Oryctolagus cuniculus: one gene and its partners. The protein of the gene in region 5 purifies or fractionates together with the protein of the main gene of each other region. This does not show direct contact. Links are inferred from orthologs where the notes say so. Each region holds a gene or a part of one and is shown on either strand. Other genes may lie near its edges. The genes, in order: SF3A1, PRPF19, SF3B1, XAB2, PLRG1 and SF3A2.

Region 1 (3,500 bases), on a different chromosome or scaffold from region 5:
TTCTTCATCATCTGAACCCTGAAATGCAAAGCCATGGTAGGTCTCAGAGAGGGCACAGAGCCACCTCCCTGTGGCTAAGCCCCGGAAGCCGAGGATAGCAAAGAGTCTTGGCCCCCGCCAGGCCATGTCCACGTGCTAAGCCTCGCAGGGCAGCCGAGGCCAGCCGGCAGCAGGCCAAGCTGCTTCCTCACAGCATGAATGGGAGCGCTGGGGGCCATGCGCTAACACTCCTCCCAGGCACTTCCAGCAGTTGGCACCAGGCAGTCCCAAGAGGCCAAGGGCACTTAACACACTGGGGAGGGGTGTCGGGCGTGAGTCAGTACTCAATGCAGCCGCTCACAGGGCAATGCTGGGAGGGAGCGAAAAAGTCAATTCCCACAGACACAGGGGCCCTTTCTTCTCGGGCTGCACACAAATTCTTTTTGGAGGGGGGAGAGCAGGGTAGCTCTGGAGACTATGCTGCTCGGAAGGCCTGGGCTGCACGGGCAGGGCCGTCTGGAAGGAGTGCACACCACGTTTAGAACAGCTCTGGAACTGCTGATCATCCGGGGCTGGCTAAATGCACCCGCATGGGGCGGTGCAGGGAGCTCCTAGGCGAGGGCTGCAGTGGGGCAGGGAGTGCAGTGCCTCTGGGTCGAGGGGAAGGCCACAGAACAGGGTCGGCACAGCTTCTAGATCCTGGCCTGCGAATGCACCTGTTTTCAGAGCTGCAGAGAGGCTCCGAGTTGCCTGGGCTTGAGCAGCTGCCTGGCCTCGTGCCGGGCCTGCGCCTCCCAGGCCATCGCTGGTCCTGGTGGACGTCAGCCCGACCGCCGGGAGCTGCAGGGGAGAGGTCACCCGCAGGCCCGCCCGGGAGCTCACCTCATCCATGTCTTGCACCTGGGTGTCCTGGTCCAGCTGGGAAGGAGGCTCCTCTGCCTTCTCCTGTTTCTCATCCTCCTCATCAGACTCAACCTCCATCTCAACCTCCTCGCTCTCCCCGAACTTCTCATATCGCTCCTGAATAAGGATGCGCGCACCCAGCTCCTCCGGCGTGGTGGGGGGAGGGAAGTTCCCTGGAACAGGGAGAGCCGAAGTCAAAGGGCTGCCCTACCAAAGGCCACCCCTTGCCCATCTGTCTGGAGGCGAGAGCTTGGGGATGTGTCCGATTTCTCTGCCCTCAGATGCCCAGCACGATCTGGTGACCAGGATTTAGCTCAGGCAAAGCGGTAGAAATGAAGTCTTCCGGCAACAGAGAGGAGACAGACACTGAAAAAGCCGCTGGGGATCCCGCTGCTCCCAGGGAACACGTCCACCGGGTCTCCAGGGCAGGGCCGGCGCCGAGCTCCTGGCTCCCGTCTGGAGGCTCTCCTCACACCTACCTTGCTCATTGGGCTGGAAGTCCACTGTCTCCACCACCACAAAATCATGCCAGTCAATCTGGGCATAAGCCACCCGCTCCTTCTCCTTCTCCTCCTCCTCCTTCTTCCTCTCGCGCTCCTGGAACTTGGCCCACTCCACGCGGTAACACACCTGCAGGGAGGGGCAACAGCATGGCACAGAGGTGGATGGCTCAGCCCCCAGGGAGGCTCTAACCCCCAGGGCCTCCACCAAAGCCAGCAACTCCTTAAGAGCAGGATGCTCCTCTGCCCTCAAAGGAAACTTCCTGAAGCAAACTACAGCAAGCCCAGAGTCCGGACAGGACGGAAATTCTAAATGCTACAGAAACCCTCCATCTGGGACCCAAGATTTCTGCTTGAGTTGGCAAGGAGCTCAGGCCTCCCAGGGTGGCAAAACCTCCAGGAAGCCTGTGGCCTCAAGGGAAACAGCAGTGGGAGAAACAGAAGCCTTCACATAGCAATTAAAACCAGCCAGCACCAATGTGCCTCCTGGACTCTGACAACCTGAGGGCTTCAAAGGGCATCTGCCACTGGAGGGCCGGGGGTGGCCTTCGAGACAGAGAAGAAAGAGGGAGCTCTGTTAAAACTGACAGTGGAACAGAAAGCAGTGCCACGCTGGGAAACACAGGGGATCCAGGTTTCTTTGGTTCTGTGGCCACAAGGCCTTTCACCCCAGCATTCCAAGCCTGGAGCGGAACAGGGCGCTGCCGCCTGGCCTGTGTCCAAGCACCAAACGGAACTCATGTGGTGGAGCTCGTACCATTAGTAACTGCTTGCAAGAAATCACACCGAGTTTACCTGATCCAAAACTTCTCGGGGGTTTTCAGCCTCTTTCTTGAGCTTTGTAAATAAGCCTTTGGGTGGAATCAGAATCTGAAACGGAAGAGTTAAAGCCCCTGTCAGTATGTCAACCAGGGACAAAGAAGGGGCCTTCCTGGCCTGGGCTCAGGTGCAGGAGATGGGAAAGCGGGGGATTCTGGGTCCCAATCCCAGCTCCAGCTGGCTGTGGGACTCTGGCCAAGTTACTCAGCCCTAGGAACTTGGTTTCCTTCTATAAAATAGCAACAACCCCACCTAAAGTCAGCACCGTCGACTTAAAAAGGTCGTTCCAAGGATTAGCAGGAACACGTATCTGAAGCCTGGTAGACCACCCAGAACACAGCTGCTCTCAGGAGACCCATCTGCTGTCCCTCTGCAAGTGCTCCTCAGGCTACTGCTGACTCCACGGAGCACCCCTCCCGCCCCACCCCTGCCTTCTTCCCCACAGTGTGCAGCACCATCTGAGGCACATGGGCACTGCACTTGTCTCCTCCTCACTAAGCTAGAGACTCCACTAGGACAGGAACTGGGGCTCTGTTCAGTTACATCCCAGCGCCTTAAGTGCTGGCTGACACTCAGTGCGCATTTACTGAAAGAGCGCACGCAGCCTGTGTTCTAAGCAAAGTGGCCCAGCCCTACCACTCTCGCTACCTCTGCCCCGGGATGTATCTGCTCCAAGTCTTCCACGGCTCGAGACACACCTGTGCCCTCAAATTACAGCAGTAAACGCCAACACTCAAGGTGAAGGAAAGAACCCGGAAAGTAACAGAATGAAGAGGGTTCTGGGAGCAGGCACTTAGCCTAGCTGGAAAGATGCCAACTAAGACGCCCCCGTCCCACTCCAAGGTACCTGGTGGGTGTGAGACCTGGCTCTGGCTCCTGACTCTATTTCTGGCTAATGGAGACCCTGTGAGGCACAACGGTGGCTCACATAACTGAGCTCTCGCCACACATGCGGGAGATCAGGATTGGGTTCCTGGCTCCCAGTTTCGTTGCAGGTTATTTGGGGAATAAGCCAGCAGGTGGGATCTCTAATAAATAAATAAAAGTAAACGAAAAGGGGTCTGGAGACCTTTAACACTGTGAAGTGTTAAAGGAGAAATGAAGCCAGAGCCACTGAAAACCGATACTGCGCATTTACAGCCACGCTTTGGCCTTCAATAATTGTTACTTCAGCTACCTTCACAGCTCCTAGATTTGGTTATTTTCTAAACACACACATTTTTACAGTTCTTTCTAGTTATATGCTTGGCATGACTGAAGCTGGAGAAAATCCAAGTCCTTTCACGTTAGACTTTTAAT
Region 2 (4,080 bases), on a different chromosome or scaffold from region 5:
GCCAGCTCTTTCCCATCACCATACTCTTTAATTTACTGGTCAGTCATGGACGTCACACTGTTGTCTCTCTAAAGGAGATAATGCTACTGCTGTGGATTGACCACCTTCATCGTGTGAGACAACGTGCCCATCCCAAGATGCACGCACGCATTCCTTCACTCGCTGGGATTTACCGAGTACCTACCATGTCCCAGACACTGCTCTCGGTGCTGGCAAAACACTGATGAAAAAAAGTACTCCCCTGATGTCACTAAGTGGACACTCTAGTTTTATTCTACGCCTCAGAAACTCTAAGCCAGGCACCAATCTATGTGATACAGTCAGGAAAATCAGGGCTCAGAGCAATAAATCCAGTCACACTGCTCATGAGCGAGAGAGAGAAGCGTGGGATCCAGGTTGTGTGACTTCACCACCAAGCTCCCCCTGTGCTGCCTTCCCCCACCCCACGTCCTAGTCCAGGGATATACTCTCTCTGAGTGGGGGAGACATCAGCTTTCTCCCAGGAACTTACCCACTCATCCTGCAAGGCTTTCAGGATGGCTGGGATGCTGGTGGCTGAGGGGGGCTTGGGCCGGATTGGGTGGGCAACTGCCAAGAGAGGAAAGTCAGGTGTGAAAACCTGTAACCCAGGCAACCCCCCTACCCCAACCTCAGGTTCTGAGCCAAGAGGCCCACACTGAGGCCGACCAACGGGTACCTTTGATGTCGATGAGCTGCTCCTCGGAGAGAGGCTGGTTGTTAATGGGGTCTGTACCATTCTCAGCAATGTACTTCTCTATGAGCCGCCGCTCGTAGACGTGATTAGAGACGGGGGACACGCACGGGTGTTCTGGCACTTCATTGGAGACTGCAGAGAAAGGCAGGCAGTAGGCTTGGGATGAAAGACAATCTGGGGCCGAGGGGATTCCTAACTGCCACCAGCCCAACAAGTCCCCACATCCACTCAACTCAGGGGAAGCACATGATGCCAAGGCAGCTTTAGGCTAGCCCCTAAATGTTCTCCAGCTACCTATGTGGCTTCTCCATTGGTCTCTCGAAAGCCTGGGTGGTCAAAAATTAACTACTACACAGCTCCTATGCACTGGGCACCCAGAATGCAGTCAATAAGCCCTGCCATCTCATTTTCAACAGGTAGTTGGGGACCCACACCAGAGAGTTACTCTCCACACCCTGGAGAGCGTGTGAAGCCATTCAGGCAGCTGCCATCCACCTCAGTCACAACCCTAACTGGATCAGGAGACACAGGGACTACACAGCAGCATGACAGACACCAGGGTACCAGAACCATTTACACGGTGCTCACTCCGTGCCGGCCAGGATGCTAAGCACTTCACACAGGTGCACCTGTCCCCCCAACAACCTCCAAGCAGTTCTCATACACATTCTTGCCCTGGGAGACAGTGCCCCCCTGAAGGGCAGTGAGCACAGCCCGTCTGGTACTTCAGTCCAACGCAGACGCCCTGCAGCACCCAACAAATCGGGTGGATGAGTGCAGGCTCGGGCCGGGGCTCAGGAGGGGGCACCTCCAGGTGTGGCAGTCCGGCATGGGCAACACTTTGGACTAACCAGAAGCAGGCTGAGGCTCAGTGTCTCTTGCCCCCTCTCTCTCTGCACCCCCAACCCAAGCGTGGTGGCAATGGAGGTATCGCTGAATTCCTTATCTATCCCAACACAGGCTCTCCAAGAGAAATACATGGATCACGGATGCGTCCTCTGGAATCTCATCACTCAGGGGAGACTGGCTCACGTCGGGAGAGGCCGAAGGTCTCCGGGCAGAGGAGGTCACTTAATCTCTTCAAGGCAGCTCTGCGACACTGTTCACTATGACTGCCTGGGCCTAGTCGTCTGCACCAGACAATAATCGGTCCGCTGTCAGTCTGGCCCCATCAACCAGCTCTCGCGGGCACTGGCTGTGCCCCTCCACAGGAGCCCCACTCCTCCCGAGCCCTACAGTCCCATTTGTACGCCTCCCGCAGGGAATTCCTGCGAGGACAAAACGAGATCGTGGGCTTGGAAGCGTGCTGTAAACCAATGTGTGTGCTCTTTTTATCAGTCATGCACAGCGCGCGGCTGGGAGCCGGACACCTGGCTTCCAGCCCCGTCGGCCTCTCGCTCCCTGCGTGACCTTCGCAAACTGCAGAGGCTCCAACTATCCGTGCGAGACCTCCGACGAGACCCAACGCAATGCTCTCAGTCTCGCAGACGGGGAAACTGAGGCCCAGCGTCTCGCGCCACATCGCAAGGCCGATCGAAGGCTGCTGCTGGACAAATCCTCAGGTTTCCTGGCTCCTACACCACGGCGGCTTCCCCTGCACCAGCTCCTCTGCCCAGGCCTGCCCAGTGGGCCCAAGTGACCCCTGCGACAATAAACCTGAGGTGATAAGTAAACTGCGCCAACACTGCGCCAAATACACGCCGCCGTAAGGGGCAGAGCACCCCGTGCTGACAGGCGGCCCGTTCCCGCCTCCGCCCGACCCCGGCGCCGCAGCGGCCTGCACACTAGCCCTCTCCTCTCTCCCGCCTCCTGCGACCTGAGATCGCCAGCGGCCAGTACTCACTAGAGCAGATCAGGGACATGGCGCCGACGCAGCGCTCTGAGGCGCCTTACTCAGGGCTCCGGGTCTACCTTCGGCGCCTCTGCGGGCTACTTCCGGTTCCCCCGCTGCTTCCGGACGCTCCGCGGTAAGCAGGGAGCTACCCCGCGGAGCGATGCCCGCGTAGCGTTTCACGTGGGAGTGTGGCCGGTCGCGCGCCTCAGCCTTCAGCACCTAACGGAAACTGCCCTTTCCCAGAATGCAACGGCACAGGAAAGAGCCCGCCCCGGGACAATCGGCTGTCTCCGGATTCACTCGGCTTCTTCCGTGAAGCCTTCAGGGGCGGGGCAAGCAGCGGAGAGGCGATCCGAAACTACACTTCCCATAGTGCAATGGGAACTTAAAGGGCTAGTCGTTCTGTACTGAGCTATTGGAATGCAGTCTTTCGAATCTCATGTAGATTTCTCGGGTCTGCCTTAGAAAGTCTGAAAGTGCCTCACGTAATTCTGAGGCAGGTGTTTTCTGGGCTGCCCTTTGAGAGACACTGCTGGCCGACCTGGTGAAGAAAGCACAGGGAGAGGAACACTGTCCAAGAAATTGAAGGCCCTACTCCTACCACAGTTTGCTCGGTGGTCTTAGACAAGTTGCCGGCTTCACCGCCCCTTCGTCCTTCTAGGTCCCTTGCAGTTCGGATAGTGTCTGGTTCTTCGTGGGGATCAGTAAAATGGGATATTCTCGAGATTCACGTAGGGAAGCAGACAAAGGTGTAGGACGGACAGGTGTGGTCAGCGAAGACTTCTGCGCTGGACTTCCGCAGGTGGGCATTGTCAGAGAAGAAGGAGAATGGAGTATTCTAGAAGGGGCAACAGCGTGAGCACAGGCTTGGGGAGAAGAATTAATGGCGGAGGGGGCAAGAGCGTGGACTCGACAGTCAAACTGTGCCCAAATGCCAGCTCCACACAGGTGGTCCACGGTACGGACTCTACGCCTCTGTTTCTTCGGCTGTAAATAGAGGAAGTGATAACCAGGGTATGTTTCTTTTCTTCCTGATTTTATATTTTTACTGAAAAGGGTATATTTAACATGAAGACCACAGAGGCTTCTGCTCTGCACCCTGACGGACCAGGTCAGATGGAAGCCCTTACGATGAGGCTGTTCATGTTGCCAAACCCAAACTGAATTGTTATCTGATCTTTCAAGCAGTTACTAAACCGAGATAACAGCTATGTTCCCTAAACAACCCAGTGTGGTCCCTAAACAGGGCAAGTTCCCTAAGCAGGCATAATGACGGTTCTGATAAGCTCTCTGCTTTAATCCTTACAAACAGTGACCTGAAGTCATCTGGTGCTGATGAATCCATCATTTTTTACCTTATTCAGTCTCCCTGTCCCCGCCCTCCAAGGAAAGTGGGTTACCAATTCACATTTTGTTCTTTCTGTTTTGTTTTCAACTCCATGAAGCCAACCTCCTCTGCCCAAACCCTTGGACACTTCCTTTGTTCTGTTGGTGGGAGTGTTGCCTGACTCTAATGGAAATCAAAGCCAAT
Region 3 (3,363 bases), on a different chromosome or scaffold from region 5:
TGAGAAAGCAGCAGAAAATGGCCCAAGTGCTTGGGCCCTTAGACCCATGTGGCAGACCAGAAGCAGCTCATGGTTACTGGCTTCTTCCCGATTCAGCCCCAGCTGTTGCAGCCAGCTTAGGAGTGAACCAGTGGCAGGAAGACCTCTCTCTCTCCCTTTTTTTTTCCCCTAAAAGATTTTATTTATTTATTTATTTGAGAGGCAGAGTTACAGAGAGAGACAGAGAAAGGCCTTCCATTTACTGGTTCACTCTCAAATGGTCACAACAGCCAAGGCTGGGCTAATCCAAAGCCAGGAGCCAGGAGCTTCTTCTGGGTCTTCCATGCGGGTAACAGGAGCCCAAATATTTGGGCCATCTTCTACTTTCCCAGGCAATAGCAAAGAGCTGGATACGAAGAGTAGTAGCTGGGACTCGAACCAGTGCCCACACGAGATGCCAGTGCCATAGATGTACCACAGCGCCAGCCCCTGTAATTTTTTCAAATAAATAAAATAAATCTTTTAAAACAAAATTACAATGGCAAAGATAATATCTAAGCCTCCCCTTATGGACACAATACATCCTTTCAATAATCAGAATAACAACTTAATTTAGTATTTTGAACAGAATTACTTTTCTTGTTGAGTAATCTTTTAAAAAAAACTTTAACCTACCTGTAAACAATATTGCAACATTCTACACGGGCCAATAGCGACTCTCAGACCCTCCAGAGCTCCCATAACAGCCTGAATTACATGAGGCGATGTCTCAAACACATTAGGCCATACGTAGTTCAACAGGTGGTTCAGTGAATCTTCACAACCAAATCCATAAACCCCAAGTGACATGTGCTGTACCACTGCACTAGCTGTCTGCCTGTGTACAAGGTCCCTGCAGTGGACAGAAAGAATTCATTGTTAAGATAGTGTTAGTTCCTTAGTTTTACAGGAAATATTCATAAGAATTTAGAAACTTAATTCAAGACTCAATTTCTAGAGAGGAAAAAAGATAAACAATTCTTTCAAACCTATACAAAAACCTACATAAAAACATCATCTCCTAGGTTAACTGATTTTATGTTTATGACAAATCAAAATCCTTCTATAATTGAGTATAAGCATCAGGTAACACAATCAGATTTGTGATGGGTATGAAAATGAATTCGGCCGGCGCCGCGGCTCACTAGGCTAATCCTCCGCCTAGCGGCGCCGGCACACCGGGTTCTAGTCCCGGTCGGGGCGCCGGATTCTGTCCCGGTTGCCCCTCTTCCAGGCCAGCCCTCTGCTGTGGCCAGGGAGTGCAGTGGAGGATGGCCCAGGTGCTTGGGCCCTGCACCCCATGGGAGACCAGGAAAAGCACCTGGCTCCTGGCTCCTGCCATCGGATCAGCGTGGTGCGCCGGCCGCAGCGCGCCGGCCGCGGCGGCCATTGGAGGGTGAACCAACGGCAAAGGAAGACCTTTCTCTCTGTCTCTCTCTCTCACTGTCCACTCTGCCTGTCAAAAAAAAAAAAAATAAAATAAAAAAAAAAAATAAAAAAAATGAATTCACACACTCTGCCCCAAAGATAGTAAGAACACCTCAAGGTGTAAGAAAACAATTTGTATTTACTAACATCCTTATTGTTCTCATTTATTATAATGTCTGATTTATTCAGTGTCAAAGTTCTTCATTCATAATTTTTCCCCACTAAAGTATTGATTCGTCTGATTTCACAATTTTTGATGGAGTTACTACCTTATTAGTACACAGAACATAATTTTTAACTGCAGCTCACATTTATCAATGACCCTATGATGCTCAGGTACTTCTCACCAAACAATGTACTTCAAGGATGATTCACCCTCACTTTGTTCCACAGTAGGTGGCCAACCTCTTCCAGAAAACAGTTCTTATTTTGTCTCCATGTCTTGCAAATAAAGCTTCTGATAATTTGTCAATTACAGTTAAAATGCCCTCTTAGAAGGTCACCAATGGGTTATCTTTAATCTGCACATAATAGAAACTGAATGGGCTCTAACTTAAGTAATTTATCTCTCCTGTAAAATAATGAGCCAGTGAAACAATTCTTTGCCCTATTATATGGACCTTCTTCTTTTCTTCATGCCAGTGATGGGGAAGGTATAGCCCACCAGCCATACAAGGCCTGCAAAATGATTTGGTCTGGTCTTGCCAAGACAATCATAGGCAGGACTCGAAACTCAGTAAATCTACATCAGGCTAATTTTTTAAGTTAATTTTTTATGGCCTGTGAATGATGTTATAAATATCTACATGGCCCTTGACAGAAAAAAGGTTCTCCACCTTTGCTTCATAAACATCACCTACAGTTACTTTTGTGTTTAAGGTTACATCGGTCTAAATGGTACAAGGTATTAGAAATCTGTCGGCCGGCGCCGCGGCTCACTAGGCTAATCCTCCGCCTAGCGGCGCCGGCACACCGGGTTCTAGTCCCGGTCGGGGCGCCGGATTCTGTCCCGGTTGCCCCTCTTCCAGGCCAGCCCTCTGCTGTGGCCAGGGAGTGCAGTGGAGGATGGCCCAGGTGTTTGGGCCCTGCACCCCATGGGAGACCAGGAAAAGCACCTGGCTCCTGGCTCCTGTCATCGGATCAGCGCGGTGCGCCGGCCGCAGCGCGGCGGCCATTGGAGAGTGAACCAACGGCAAAAGGAAGACCTTTCTCTCTGTCTCTCTCTCTCACTGTCCACTCTGCCTGTCAAAAAAAAAAAAAAAAAAAAAAAAAAAAGAAAGAAAGAAAGAAAGAAATCTGTCAAATTAATTTGAGTAATACTGTATTGAGAGACACCAACTGAACCACCAGGGGTCTGCAATGGAAAACAGTGTGGTTCTGGCAAGCCATATTCAGTAGGTCAAAAGCTTAAGCGAAATTTCTTTAATCTGTAATAAAAATCATGAAGATCAGGTCTCTGCCATGTTAACTATTGCTTATCATTTCCTCTAATTATATTTGACTAATTTTTAAAACAAACGATCAATTACTGCTTTTCAAAATGTATTGTCTGGCCGGCGCCGTGGCTCAACAGGCTAATCCTCCGCCTAGTGGCGCCGGCATCCCGGGTTCTAGTCCCGGTCGGGGCACCAGATTCTGTCCCGGTTGCCCCTCTTCCAGGCCAGCTCTCTGCTGTGGCCCAGGAGTGCAGTGGAGGATGGCCCAAGTGCTTGGGCCCTGCACCTGCATGGGAGACCAGGAGAAGCACCTGGCTCCTGGCTTCGGATCTGGCCGCAGCGGCCATTGCGGGGCGAACCAACGGAAAAGGAAGACCTTTCTCTGTCTCTCTCTCTCACTGTCCACTCTGCCTGTCAAAAAAAAAAAAAAAAAAAAAAGTATTGTCTAACAGATATGAAAAGTAATTAAAAATGGGGTGAG
Region 4 (4,216 bases), on a different chromosome or scaffold from region 5:
CTTGCCCGCCTTGGACACGAACCGCTCATCATTCACCACGGTGGCCAGGCGCTGGGCGGCCTCATCCAGCCGGTCGCTCGACTTGAGGTACTCAATGTATTCTTCTGCGCTCTCAGGACTCAGCTGGGGACCGCCCGACCCCACCGACGATCAGTGGGGCTGTGGGGCTACACGCGCCACCCCCCGCCCCGTACAGGCTCTGGGCCTGGAGCCACTGACCTGGCCAACAGTCAGCCCCCCTGCCTCCCAGCCCCGCGGGAGCCCTCCCTCACTCCTGACCACTCCAGCCCTCCATCCACCTCGGCCCCACTGGTCCGGCCTTGATGACAGCGGTCTAGCCTGGGCCCCGTGGGTCCTGCCCAGACCAGGCCTTGCTCTCATCACAATCCCCCCACCCCAGCAGTGCTGTGCTGGCTCGTGGCGCACAACTGCCCAAACTGCACCCCACCCTACCCGCACCTGCTCTCTCAACCCTGCCTGCCCCAGCCCCACCCAGCCACCTCCTGCCCTCACCATGGCTGGGGTCTTATCCTGGCTTAGCTGTCAGCTTGAATGCACCTGTCTACCCAGTTAGACTGGAAGCTCCGTGCAGGTGGGGACTGGTTTATTCACACTGATCCCAGCACCTGGTTCTAGGCTGATGTGGAGCAGGGGCCAGCAAACTACTTAGAAAATGAAGAAACAAGTCACGAGCAGAAGCTGTGTGTCTCCGGGAGCCCTCTCCTCCCATCCCACACAGGGCACTGGCCCACCTGATGCACTCACCTTGAGGAAGCGCCGGTAGCCTCGCACAGCGGTCTCCGGCAGGGGGTGTGAGCGCAGGAAGCGCAGGTACAAGGGCCAGATCCGAGAGTGCTGTGTGATGGGCAGGGCCCGGAGGGCGCGGTCAAAGGTGCGGCGGGTGTGTGTGACGCGGCCCTGGTCCATCAGGAACTGGCAGTAATCCAGCCACAGACGGGGCATCTGCATGCGTGGGCGGAGGCAGCCAGCTGTGAGCCGTGACAGACACCAGTGTCCCGTGGCCAAGCTGCCTCTGGGGCCTCGACACAAGTGCAGGACCTAGAGGCCCCAGCTCCAGGGCAGAGTCCAGCCCGACCACGGGGCACAGAGGCCACGGAGCTCCCACCCCTGCCCAGCCACGCCGAGCCCACCTTGTGCATGAACACAAAGGCCCGCTCGTGGCAGTTGTTGACGTCTTCGTAGGCGGGGTCGGTCACACAGCGATGCTTCACCTGCGCCCGCCGCGCCTTCAGGTAGCGGTACCAGAGCTTGTAGCTGGGGAACGAGGGGCCAGACGCTGATGGGTCGGCGTCAACAACCCCTCGCCCTGCCCCAGGGCACAAGGGAGGGGTGACCTGTCTCAGCAATACAGGGGGCACGGACTGAGGCATCAGGGTACGAGCAGAGCGGCTGCCTGGGAGCCACCTGCCAGTTCTGTCGTAACTGGACCGGGAGGGGCGGGAGGGGCGGGGGGGGGGCGGGTGGGCGGGGCCCCACCTGCAGGGCAGGGGCGGGGGCGGGTGGGCGGGGCCCCACCGGCAGGGGCAGGGGCAGGGGCAGGGGCGGGTGGGTGGGTGGGGCCCCACCTGCAGGGCAGCAGCTTGAGCGCCCGCTCATACAGCTGGTTCAGCCTGGGCTTCGGGGCGCCCTGTTTGAACTCGATGTAGCGCAGCCAGCATTTGACGGAGAACTGGTTCCGCATGATCTCCTCCTCGTAGGGGAGGTCCTCTTCCTCCTGTAGGGGCCGGGAGGAAGGGAGATCTGCCCTCAGAGCCGGGAAGCAGCGCCACCCCTTAGGCCCCCCCAGCCCACCGTCCGAGCCAGGTCATCACACACCCAGACTCCTCAGACCGCCGGGCTTCCAGACATAACGCTGTCACCAGGACTCGAGTCCTCCAAATCCCGCCACCCACCCTCTGTCCCAGGTCACCAAGACACCAGGGCCCTGGTCTACACGTCGGACTTGTGAGCAGCACAGGACAGTATCTCCTCACTGCATGCCTCTCCCCAAACGCCAGGTGCTTAGACTCTCGCACCTGACGCCATCTCCACCTCGGCCACAGGAACTGTCAGGTGCAGCTACTAAGTCATTGGCCCACAGCCAGTGTCTGGCTCAGCTCTGCCCCAGAACCTGGAAGCTAGGTCTTTATTTCAGAAGGTATGGGCCAGACACGGAGCCCCTAACCCCTGGACGCCAAGAATCTCGGGGTGATGCCAGGCCTCTACTCGGACATCAAGACTTCCGCCCGATAAGCTCCACACCGCAGGGTTCCCCTAGCTCGGGCAACAAACCGTTACCCCAGAAATCAGAGCCCTGGCCTGGTCACCAACTCTAATTTTCAAGGCCCACTTGGGCGAATCCTCCTCCCGTTTCCCGTGCGCCGCCATTTCAGCCTTCAACCCGAGACGCCAGGCCCTTAACCTCCACAGCAGTTCTTTATGCAGGCCACCGGGATCCGGGCTCGACCCCGGAGCTCTACTCCTGGCCAGTCCAAGACAGACATCACTAGCCGGCCTCTGGCCCGTTAGGGTCCCCTAGCCTTTGCGTTCCCAGTTTTGGCCTAAGTCCCCCGGAAGGCCATGCTCCCATACCTCAAGACATTCAGGTGCATATATCCCTACAGGGGCCACCCCTACCCCAACGCGGACTCACAAAGACAAGATCCGGCCGCTCGGGCCGTGAGATGCGCGCCATCACCACCATTTTCCTAGCTGTCCAGGTAGAAGCGAGAGTCGCGCACTTATGACGTCTCCTATGAAAAGTCCCGCCCCTCGAGCCAGACCCATTTTCTATTGGCTGAACGCTTCTTGACAGCGCGGCCCTCGGTGTTGACTTCCGTGTAGGCGCCGCCAGTGACCGGAAGTCGAGTAGAGGCGCCTGAAGATTACGACATCCTGGAGCTCATTGACCAATCAGCATCAGCAGTGTATTTCGCGAAACACCAGTGAACTGCTGTCTTGCTGGAGAGTCCGCTGTGGGCGGAAGTGGCTTTATAGACCTGGAGAAACGGAGATGGGGGTGAAGCTGGAAGTGTTTCGGGTCAGTGAGCACAGGTGTGGGTTGGGAGGCTGCATCGGGGGAACTACAGAGAGGAAGTGCCCTGGGAAGAAAGCTCTCGAGACTGGAAAGGGCCTTTACGTTTGGAAATCCAGAGGAGGGGGCGGCTAGGTTGAGGGGCTCGGAGTGGGGCGCCCGGGTTGGGGGCTTTGGGAGCCTTGATCTCGTAGGGATTGGTGAGCCCAGGACGGGGCTGTAAGAAGGAAAAGTTTCAGATCCTGAGGGGACTCCTGGGCTCATGGTGGGCGTGGTTGTGGCTCTGATTGGGTGACCCTAGTAGTCTTAGGGCAGGAAACGTGCGGAGAGGCCTCCGGGGGTTTCAGGTGCTCCAGGTATCTGAATGAGGGGGGTGGGTGATGAGGTTTCGAGGGGGTACCTTTGACTGTCATAGGAGCAGCTGCGGCGCTAGGAGCAGTTGCGTGTGTGCCTGTGCGTTGCACATGTGTGTCTTCGACTCGCAGCCTGGAGAGGGTGGTCAGGGATAAGGACTCTGGGGTGATGTGGGGTGAGCTTTTAAGGTGGGAGGCTTCTGCACCCTTGGTGGCGATTTTGGAGCACCTGGGCTGGGCAGGGGGGTGGGCCGTCCGTTCTCAGCCACGCTGCGTGTTACCGGGGGTGGTAGTAGCCATCCCAGCTTCTACTCACCCGCCCACCCCCAACTCTGCAGATGACGCTGTACCTCACGTTCCCTGTGGCAATGTTCTGGATTTCCAATCAGGCCAACTGGTTCGAGGACTATGTCGTGCAGCGCAAGGTGGGCACCCGGAGGAGTGCTCACGGGTCAGAATGCCCCGGGGTGGGGGGAGGGGATGGGACAGGAACCTACCGGGGGACCCATGTCTGCCTCTCTTGGTTCAGCACTGCCCTGGGCGCGGGGCTGGGGAAGCTCCTGGCCCGCGCCCTTGTCTGTGACTTTGTCCCCACAGAGAGAGCTGTGGCCACCGGAAAAGGAGGGCCAGGTAAGCAAGCTACTCCCCCTCCCCCCAGGTGCCCCTGGCTGTGATGGTGGGGGTGGGGCGGTCCCCACTGGACATGGAAGCCGTGGCCTGAGGAAGTAGGGGAGAAGATGGTGGGAGAGGGGCCCAGGTCCCGAGCCGCGTGCCCACCTGCTTCCCCTCCCCCAGCGCCAAGAGCTCGAAGAATTCAAAGAGAGGATCC
Region 5 (3,500 bases):
GCCACTGGGGTTTGGGCATTGTAGGGGCTTTTTTAGCCATTAGTGCAGAGTTCTTGGTATTGCCAGTCTCCACAATCATCTAGATATGGAATAAATTACATTATATTAAACATATCACACCAAAGGTTTCATGTGATCAATTAAAAAAAGGAAGCTAAAATAAGATATTTATCAGTACTGTATTTTCTGTATGTTAATTCTAAAAACCAATTAAAAAAAAAACCAGAGAGGCAGAACATTTACACACAGATATCACTGTGTATGTGTTCAAAATGCAAGCCTACTAGCCGCCTTGTTTGCAAAACAGGAAGAACAGTGCTGTATCATGGGGTTATTATAAAGATTTAAAATACTGTACATGCTTTATGCGAGCTCCCATGTCACCGAAGTCATTTAAGTGTATTTCCACTGTTGAATTTTATTATTACTGATTCAATATAGCAAAGGAGAGACTGACAGCTCCTACTAACCTTTTAATATAATATTTAAACATTACTTCAAAAGATAAACTAGCTGATAACTTTTAAAATATATTATTAGTATCTATCTATTCATCCCCAAAATATTTCAGCCCATAAAGTTCCTGCCCTTAAGAAGCTTAAATTACAACCTCATGAAGAGACAGAAAGCCTGGAAAATGGAAGATTAAAAAGAAAAACAAGGCATATGAAAGTCACAAATACATTCACTTCATAAAGCCAAATCAACCGCAAAGGAAACTGAGGAAGCCAAGCCCACACTTATTTCAGATAATAGCACATTTTCAGTTGTTCTTTCTACAATTCTCACTTATACTAGCCCCAATTGTCATTTACTCACAGATAAAATTAATGTATTTCTAAATGTTCATTTTTAAGACAAGTTTTATAGCCCATAAATTTTTACACACCATTAGCATTCAACTGTACCTGTGCACATCATCTTAAAGTTTAATTAAAAAAAACCTTTCAAATATGACCCAAGTTTCAGAATAATACTCCTTGCATTTTTAATATCAATATCACACCAAATACATAGTATGTACATGTGCAAATGGACACAGAAATACAAAATTTTAAATTCTAAAAAAATTGCTTATTTACTAACAACTTAGTTTTAGGGATATGAAGCATTAACAACTACCTGAGGATGCTATTTACCTTAATTCCAAGGATGTGTTCATTTCTTTAATATTTAAGGTAAGACTTTTGGGATAAAAATAAATAAGGCAGCACACTCTGAGAGCTGGAAATCTTTAGTGCTATCTGACACAGGGAAACTTACTGCATTCCCCACTGCAGGCTGTGTGCGATCCGAAGCACCAGGAAGTCGGTATTCACCCCCGCCAGGTGCAGTACGATTGGCATCAACCCTGAGACAAAGAAAATTGCACATTGTGAGCAATGCCTCCACCATGTATCCTGCAAAACCAATCCTTTTATTTCAAATTTTTCTAAGCCCTGACAAAGGAAAATATCATATAATATGTGTTATAAAGAAACAAATGTAAATAACGAAAAAAGTGTGAAAAGTATAATGCACTTCCAAAATCTTTACAATTACACGCACAGCACTTCATACCTGGTCTGAGAAGAAGGTAACGTCACTGCTAAGGCCTGTGCAGCCGATTCACTTGGCATCCTTTGGATCTTAGTATCTGCTGTCAGAGCAACCCCTATTAACATAAAAAAAAAAAAAACTCTTCTCATAGCTATCTTTGTTTTCATTTACATGCATTTGAAATAAAGCACCAGAGGAAAACATACACAAGTTACTGTCTTCAAGTGGTGATATCACAAAAATTGGATGATGAAATTTTGCTTGTCTTTGTTTTTAACAATAAATACACTTACCACATACCTCATGTTTGACCTGCTCATAAGCAGCTTGGTATTAAAGCAGCCCAAAAAAGCCAAGTTTAAATTTCTGTGAAATTCCAGAATTACCTTCAACAGTAAAAACCAAGCATTTCTTTAAATACTGAGCTTCTAGGAGTGAATTTAAGTTACTACCATCAGAAGCAGCCAGCTCCCTTGCATTTTCTACAATATTAAGCTCTTTGTGCCATACCCTATTATGCTAGTCACAGTGTCCATGTGCCAACCCCTCTACACACACACACACACCCGGGGGACACCTTCCCACTGTACATATTTCAACACTAACAATTCTTCATTCATGTGGTCAGTGATATTTACATGCCTTTCTAAACCACCAGCCAACAAATTTCTCTAGGCTTGGAGCAGTTTTATCGTCTGTGAATTCCTAGCACAATGCTTGAAAAAATATAAGAGTTTAATAATGTTTGCTAAATTACTGTATATAAATATTAGTTAGTTATATTCTAAAAAGCTATGTGTGGATGCCGGGCTGTTGAGTTTAACCTGTATTCTATAGGTAATTCGAATGTCATTATTGCCTCATTCAAGGAAATATTTGTGACAATAAAATAAGACAATTTCTGTAATCATAGTTCACTCACCAGGTCCTGGTGGGTATGGATGTGTACCTGTCACCAAATACTCAACTTCTTGTCCTAAAAAGAAAAATTAATCAATGGTGAATTTATCTTATACACAAGTTATCTTTTTAAATACATCCATATCATCAACTGGATTTCTCAAATTTTCCCAACTAAACTGCAATCTCAGATATACAAGATATTGACCATATTTTCAAAATTATTTACATGTTATTTGAGAGCAGAGAGAATTTCTCATCTGTTGCTTCACCCCCAAAATGCCCACAATAGCCAGGGACAGACCAGGCCAAAGCCAGTAGCTGAGAACTCAAGCCAGGTCTCCTGTACGGGCTGCCCAGACACAGTCTCATGAGTCATCACTTGCTGTCTCCTACACTTTAGCAGGAACGTTAGAACTGGCAGCAGACCTGGGACTCCATCCCAGGCTCTCATATGAGATGCAGGCATCCCAAGTGGTGTTTTCACCAACAGGCCAAATGCCCAGTCCATCATGTTTGCTTTGACCTCTATAAATCATGTACACGGCTACGTCCTTGCCCAGTTGCTGACATGAGTTCAAAAAGGCTCATGCATTTGCTACAGTGATGGTGCCACAGAGTGAGCTTATTAAATGACAATCCACTCCAGTTTTTCTTCTAAGCAAAAGGCAATGGCTTCCTGTGGAATCTAGAGTCTTTTCTTCATTACAATTGCACAAGTTGTATCCATAATCCAAAAATCTAAAACCTTTAGATTTTTAGATTTTAATGCTCTAAAACTTAAAATACTGAAATAATGTGACACCGAAAATTCCACACCTAACCTCATGTGAAGCAGGCACACTAAAAACAGTGAATAAAATTATCTTCAGGTTATCAATAAAAGGTATATACGAAACATAATAAAGAATCTTGTGTTTAGATTTACACATACACAAATATTCCAAAATCTGAAAAAACAGAATCAGAAATGCAAAACACGTCTGGCCTCGAGCATTTTGTTATGGGCTACTCAATTTGTCCTTGAATTTCATCTTTCTCAATTACAGTAAGGCTAGGTA
Region 6 (4,127 bases), on a different chromosome or scaffold from region 5:
TCGTAGGGCTCGGCGGCCATCAGCAGGTACTGCCAGCGCCGGTCCGGGGGCTCGATCCTCTGCTCGTAGGCCGACATGAAGCGGTGCCGGGGGGTGATGCCCTCGGCGATCTCGGGGTAGTCGATCTGCGGGCGGGCAGTGTCAGGGGCCCCCAGCCCCCACTGCCCCCCGCCCCCGCAGCCCCCACCCGGCCCCGCCCCCGCGGCCCCCCCCCCGACCCCGCGGCCCCGCCCACCTGGAAGAGCAGGCTCTGCTGGCCCATCTCCGTGTCCCGCTGCTTGGTCACTGCAACACCAGGGCCGGTGAGGGGCCCCCCCGCAGCCCCACGTCCCGCCCAGGGCGGCAGGTGAGGCCCAGGTCCCAGCTCAGAGGGCCGGCCCAGGGCTGCACGCCACAGCCCCGCCTGCCCCTCCGTGCCCAGGACCCCGCCTGCCCACAGCCCCACGGCCTCGCCTGTCCCCGCCTGCCCCTCCCTGCCCAGGGCCTCGCCTGTCCCCGCCTGCCCCCCCCCCCCCGCCCAGGGCTGGTGTCGGGCGGCCCCGCCCCCTCACCTTTGTAGCCAGGGCGTCCGATCTTCACGAACTTCTTCACCTCCACCTTGACCTTCTCGGGCGCGGGCTGGGCGGGCGCCTCCTTGGCCTCCTTGGCTGCGCGCCGGGCCCTGGGGCGGGGCAGACGGGCGCTGTGGTCCTCCACACCAGGCCAAGGCCACGGGCGCAGGTGCAGGAGCCCCCCTGCCCGGCCTTGGGCTCCCGCGGGGGGGGTGAGGGGCGGGGCCCTGCGGCTGGGGGGCGGGTCAAGGGGCCCTCCCCCGTGTCACAGCCGGGGGGCGCGGGGGGCACTCACAAGTTGGTCTGATGCTTCTTCCCTTGAGTGTGTGCGAGGTAGCTGCCCTGCGTGGAGGAGGCGGGACATGAGGCCGGGGGCGGGGCCAGGCCGGTGGGCGGGGTAGCGGCAGGCGGGGTGGGGGAGGACCAGGCCGAACAGTGGACAGGGCGGGAGGGGGGGACCAAGCCGGCCGGGGGGTGGGGCAGCGGCAGGCGGGGGTCAGGCCGGGGGCGGGGGGATCAGGCCGGCTGGGGGCGGGGCCAGGCCGGTGGCAGGCAGGAGCGGGGGACCAGGCCGGCCAGTGGACAGGGCGGGAAGGGGGGGGATCAGGCCGGCCGGTGGAGGGGGGGGGCCAGGCCGGCCGGTGGGCGGGGCGGGGGCGAGGGGTTCAGGCCGGCCGGTGGGCGGGGCGGGGGCAGGCAGGGGCGGGGGCAGGGTACCAGGCCGGCCAGTACCTCGTTGTTGTGCAGGGTCAGGCACAGCTTGCACTCGTAGGAGCCCAGGTGGTTCTTCATGAAGTAGGGGTCCTGGGGGAGAGCGGCGCGGGGCGTCAGGGGCGTCAGGGGCGTCGGGGGCGTCGGGCGCGTCGGGGGCGTCGGGGGCGCCCCGCGGGGGGGCGGGCGGGCGGCCCTACCTTGTTGATGTCGATGGTCTCCAGGGCCAGCTGCCGCAGGCGCTCGCGGCGGTCCCGGTTGCTCTCGGAGGAGGAGGCCACGCCCCCACTCCCGGTCTTGCCGCCGGGGCGGTGCTGGAAGTCCATGGTGCCGGCCTGCGGACCTCAGCGCCGGAGAAGCCTGCGGAGCCCAGACCGGGGGGGGCCCTCAGGACGCGGCGGGGGCCGGAGACCCCAGGAGGCAGCCCCCAGCCCCTCCCGGGCGCACCCACGCGGGCTCTCCCGTGTCAGCCGCCGGGCCCAGCCGCGGGCGTCGGGGAGAACGGGGGCGCGGACGACCGCCTGGCGCCCCCCCGCCGTCCACTCCCCAATGCCCCTAAGCCAGGGCTGGGCCTCCCCGTGGACGGCAGGGGCCGCTCGGGCCCCATTCGGGCACTGGCCCGAGTCCTGGCTGCCGGCCCGGGCCCCGCACCTGCTCTGACCCGGCCCGGCCCGGCCCGGCCTCCGGGGACTGGACCGGCGGGAGGAGACCCCGCCCCTGCGACCCCGACTTCCGGGCACGGCGCGGGCGGCCCGGCTGACCCCAGGGCGCTACCGGGCCCGCCCGCGGTCCACGCACGAGCCGCCCCCGGCTGACCCCAGGGCGACCCGGGCCCGCCCGCGGTCCACGCACGAGCCCTGGCGGCCCCACAGCCCCTCCATCGGGACGCGAACCCAGGACCTCAGGGCTGGGGGAGGGGGAACCACGCGAAGGGACAGTCGGACAGCGGACCGAGGGGAAGACGCGGCCCCGGGCACGCAGGCTTGCGGGAGGGAAATCTAAGACGCAGCCGCATCGCCGTCCGCACCCGGGACGCCCCGCAGCCCCCCGGGCGCCCGCGACCGACCCCCACGACGACAAAGGCGCCAGCGGGGGCGGCCTCGGGGGTCCCGGCGGCTTTTGGCGGGAACGCCGGCACGCACCCCCGCGCGCGGCCCCGCGGCCCGGGCCCGCCCCGCCGAGCAGCCGAAGGCCCGCGGCCGCTCCCCGGACCCCGGAGCCCGCCCCGGACGGACGCGAGACCCCCGCGACCCCCGCGACGCCCGCCGCGGAGTTCCGGAGGGCCGGGGTCGCCGTGGGGCCCGCCGCCCGCCCCGGCCCCTCCCTCCCGCGCCCCCAGCCCACCCTGGGCGCCCCGGGGCCCCGATGGCCCCCGCGCCTACTTCGTGTGGGTCGCGCCCCGCGTCGCAGGCCTCCGCCGTCCGCCTCAGGAGCCGCCGCCACGACGTCGCAGTGCGCACGCGCGGCGCGGGCGCTCGCAGCACTTCCGGAGGGAGGACGGGCCCTCGAGTGTGCGCATGCGCGTGCCCGAGGCGCGCCTGCGCACAACGCGCTCCGCGCGCGCACCCGCGTCGGCTCTTGGGGGCGGGGGCGGGAACCGGTAACGCCCCGTCCGCCCGCGCTCGGCGGTCCTTCGATCCTGCTTGCGCCTCAGACCCACTTTATTCCGCGGCTGTGTCGCGGCTGCCCGGCGTGTACCCACGCCCCAGCACGCCGCGGTCGCAGCGCGCAAGACTCGCCCGTGGCGCGCAGGCGCAATGGCGCTTCCGGGGCTCCGACCTGGGATCTTTCTGGCGCGAGCGGGGACGGCGGCCGAGAGGGCTCAGAGCTAGCAGCGCGCGTTCCCGGTCCCGGGCAGCGCCGGCGCCATGCGCTACAACGAGAAGGAGCTGCAGGCGCTGTCCCGGCAGCCGGCCGAGATGGCGGCTGAGCTGGGCATGCGGGGCCCCAAGAAGGGCAGCGGTGAGCGGGCGCGGGCGCGGGCGGGGGCGCGGGGGCGCGGGGGCGCGCGGCCGCCCTGAGCCCGCTGTGTGCCCGCAGTGCTGAAGCGGCGCCTGGTGAAGCTGGTGGTGAACTTCCTCTTCTACTTCCGCACGGACGAGGCCGAGGTGGGCGCGGGGCGCGGGGCGCGGGGGCGGGGCGCGGCGCGGGGCGCGCGGGCGCGGGGCGGCCCCGCTCACGGCGCGTGTGCCCGCAGCCCGTCGGAGCCCTCTTGCTGGAGCGCTGCCGGGTCGCCCAGGAGGAGGCGCGGAGCTTCTCCATCGGTGAGTGCGCGGGCCGGGCGGGGCGGCGCGGGCGCGGGGCGGGCGCGGGCACCCACAGCGGCCGCTCCCGCAGGCTTCCTGGAGGACCCGGAGAGGAAGTACGTGTTCGAGTGCGGCAGCGAGGAGCAGTGCCGGCAGTGGACGGAGGCGCTGCGCAGGGCCAGGTGGGGCCGGGGCGGCGGGGGCGGCGGGGGCGGCGGGCGCGGCGGGCGCGGCGGGCGCGACGGGGGCGGCGGGCGCGGCGGGCGCGGCGGGGGCGGCGGCCTGACCCCGCGGGCACGGCCTCTCCCGCAGCTACGAGGTCATGCGGAGGAGCCTCATCTTCTACCGGAATGAGATCCAGAAGATGACGGGCAAGGTGCGGGGGGCGCGTGCGGGGCGGCCGGGCGGGCGGGGCTCCCGGCCCCGGGCCCCGGGTCACCGCGTCTCCCCGCCCGCCGCCCTAGGACCCCCTGGAGCAGTTCGGGATCTCCGCGGAGGCCCGCTTCCAGATCAGCAGCCCGCCCAGCGACGGGCGGCCGGCGGGCACCGGGCCCGGGCCCGGGCTGGACGCGCTGGACTGACCCCGGCCCGGCCGAGCCTGCGTGGGAGGGGTTCCTGG

What was found.
Region 1: the proteins of PLRG1 (region 5) and SF3A1 fractionate together in Homo sapiens (co-fractionation; 3 studies listed by BioGRID and IntAct, with this or other methods). This does not show direct contact. The link is inferred for Oryctolagus cuniculus from reciprocal best matches to the Homo sapiens genes PLRG1 and SF3A1.
Region 2: the proteins of PLRG1 (region 5) and PRPF19 purify together in Homo sapiens (affinity purification with mass spectrometry; 8 studies listed by BioGRID and IntAct, counting the BioPlex papers as one, with this or other methods). This does not show direct contact. The link is inferred for Oryctolagus cuniculus from reciprocal best matches to the Homo sapiens genes PLRG1 and PRPF19.
Region 3: the proteins of PLRG1 (region 5) and SF3B1 purify together in Homo sapiens (co-immunoprecipitation; 3 studies listed by BioGRID and IntAct, with this or other methods). This does not show direct contact. The link is inferred for Oryctolagus cuniculus from reciprocal best matches to the Homo sapiens genes PLRG1 and SF3B1.
Region 4: the proteins of PLRG1 (region 5) and XAB2 purify together in Homo sapiens (affinity purification with mass spectrometry; 3 studies listed by BioGRID and IntAct, counting the BioPlex papers as one, with this or other methods). This does not show direct contact. The link is inferred for Oryctolagus cuniculus from reciprocal best matches to the Homo sapiens genes PLRG1 and XAB2.
Region 6: the proteins of PLRG1 (region 5) and SF3A2 purify together in Homo sapiens (affinity purification with mass spectrometry; 3 studies listed by BioGRID and IntAct, with this or other methods). This does not show direct contact. The link is inferred for Oryctolagus cuniculus from reciprocal best matches to the Homo sapiens genes PLRG1 and SF3A2.

Annotation. Positions count from the first base shown.
Region 1 is NC_091452.1:23,649,577-23,653,076, forward strand, and holds part of SF3A1 (splicing factor 3A subunit 1), read right to left. Parts: intron 2,253-3,500; coding exon 2,178-2,252; intron 1,513-2,177; coding exon 1,362-1,512; intron 1,056-1,361; coding exon 862-1,055; intron 19-861; coding exon 1-18. UniProt on the Homo sapiens protein: Component of the 17S U2 SnRNP complex of the spliceosome, a large ribonucleoprotein complex that removes introns from transcribed pre-mRNAs.
Region 2 is NC_091432.1:11,685,777-11,689,856, reverse strand, and holds the start of PRPF19 (pre-mRNA-processing factor 19), read right to left. Parts: upstream 2,801-4,080; 5' UTR 2,578-2,800; coding exon 2,559-2,577; intron 848-2,558; coding exon 698-847; intron 589-697; coding exon 512-588; intron 1-511. UniProt on the Homo sapiens protein: Ubiquitin-protein ligase which is a core component of several complexes mainly involved pre-mRNA splicing and DNA repair. Required for pre-mRNA splicing as component of the spliceosome.
Region 3 is NC_091434.1:42,860,595-42,863,957, reverse strand, and holds part of SF3B1 (splicing factor 3B subunit 1), read right to left. Parts: intron 872-3,363; coding exon 655-871; intron 1-654. UniProt on the Homo sapiens protein: Component of the 17S U2 SnRNP complex of the spliceosome, a large ribonucleoprotein complex that removes introns from transcribed pre-mRNAs.
Region 4 is NW_027208201.1:3,941,837-3,946,052, forward strand, and holds the start of XAB2 (pre-mRNA-splicing factor SYF1), read right to left. Parts: upstream 2,801-4,216; 5' UTR 2,705-2,800; coding exon 2,654-2,704; intron 1,736-2,653; coding exon 1,587-1,735; intron 1,276-1,586; coding exon 1,152-1,275; intron 964-1,151; coding exon 766-963; intron 124-765; coding exon 1-123. Other genes in the region: protein PET100 homolog, mitochondrial, read left to right, coding at 3,014-3,040, 3,726-3,812, 3,985-4,017, 4,183-4,216. UniProt on the Homo sapiens protein: Involved in pre-mRNA splicing as component of the spliceosome. Involved in transcription-coupled repair (TCR), transcription and pre-mRNA splicing.
Region 5 is NC_091439.1:11,048,617-11,052,116, forward strand, and holds part of PLRG1 (pleiotropic regulator 1), read right to left. Parts: intron 2,516-3,500; coding exon 2,462-2,515; intron 1,655-2,461; coding exon 1,561-1,654; intron 1,352-1,560; coding exon 1,264-1,351; intron 80-1,263; coding exon 1-79. UniProt on the Homo sapiens protein: Involved in pre-mRNA splicing as component of the spliceosome. Component of the PRP19-CDC5L complex that forms an integral part of the spliceosome and is required for activating pre-mRNA splicing.
Region 6 is NC_091447.1:59,110,251-59,114,377, reverse strand, and holds the start of SF3A2 (splicing factor 3A subunit 2), read right to left. Parts: upstream 2,801-4,127; 5' UTR 2,645-2,800; intron 2,021-2,644; exon of another isoform or gene 1,914-2,020; intron 1,623-1,913; 5' UTR 1,589-1,622; coding exon 1,463-1,588; intron 1,356-1,462; coding exon 1,284-1,355; intron 894-1,283; coding exon 847-893; intron 662-846; coding exon 552-661; intron 286-551; coding exon 236-285; intron 126-235; coding exon 1-125. Other genes in the region: PLEKHJ1 (pleckstrin homology domain-containing family J member 1), read left to right, coding at 3,131-3,224, 3,303-3,370, 3,460-3,526, 3,600-3,690, 3,821-3,884, 3,973-4,089. UniProt on the Homo sapiens protein: Component of the 17S U2 SnRNP complex of the spliceosome, a large ribonucleoprotein complex that removes introns from transcribed pre-mRNAs.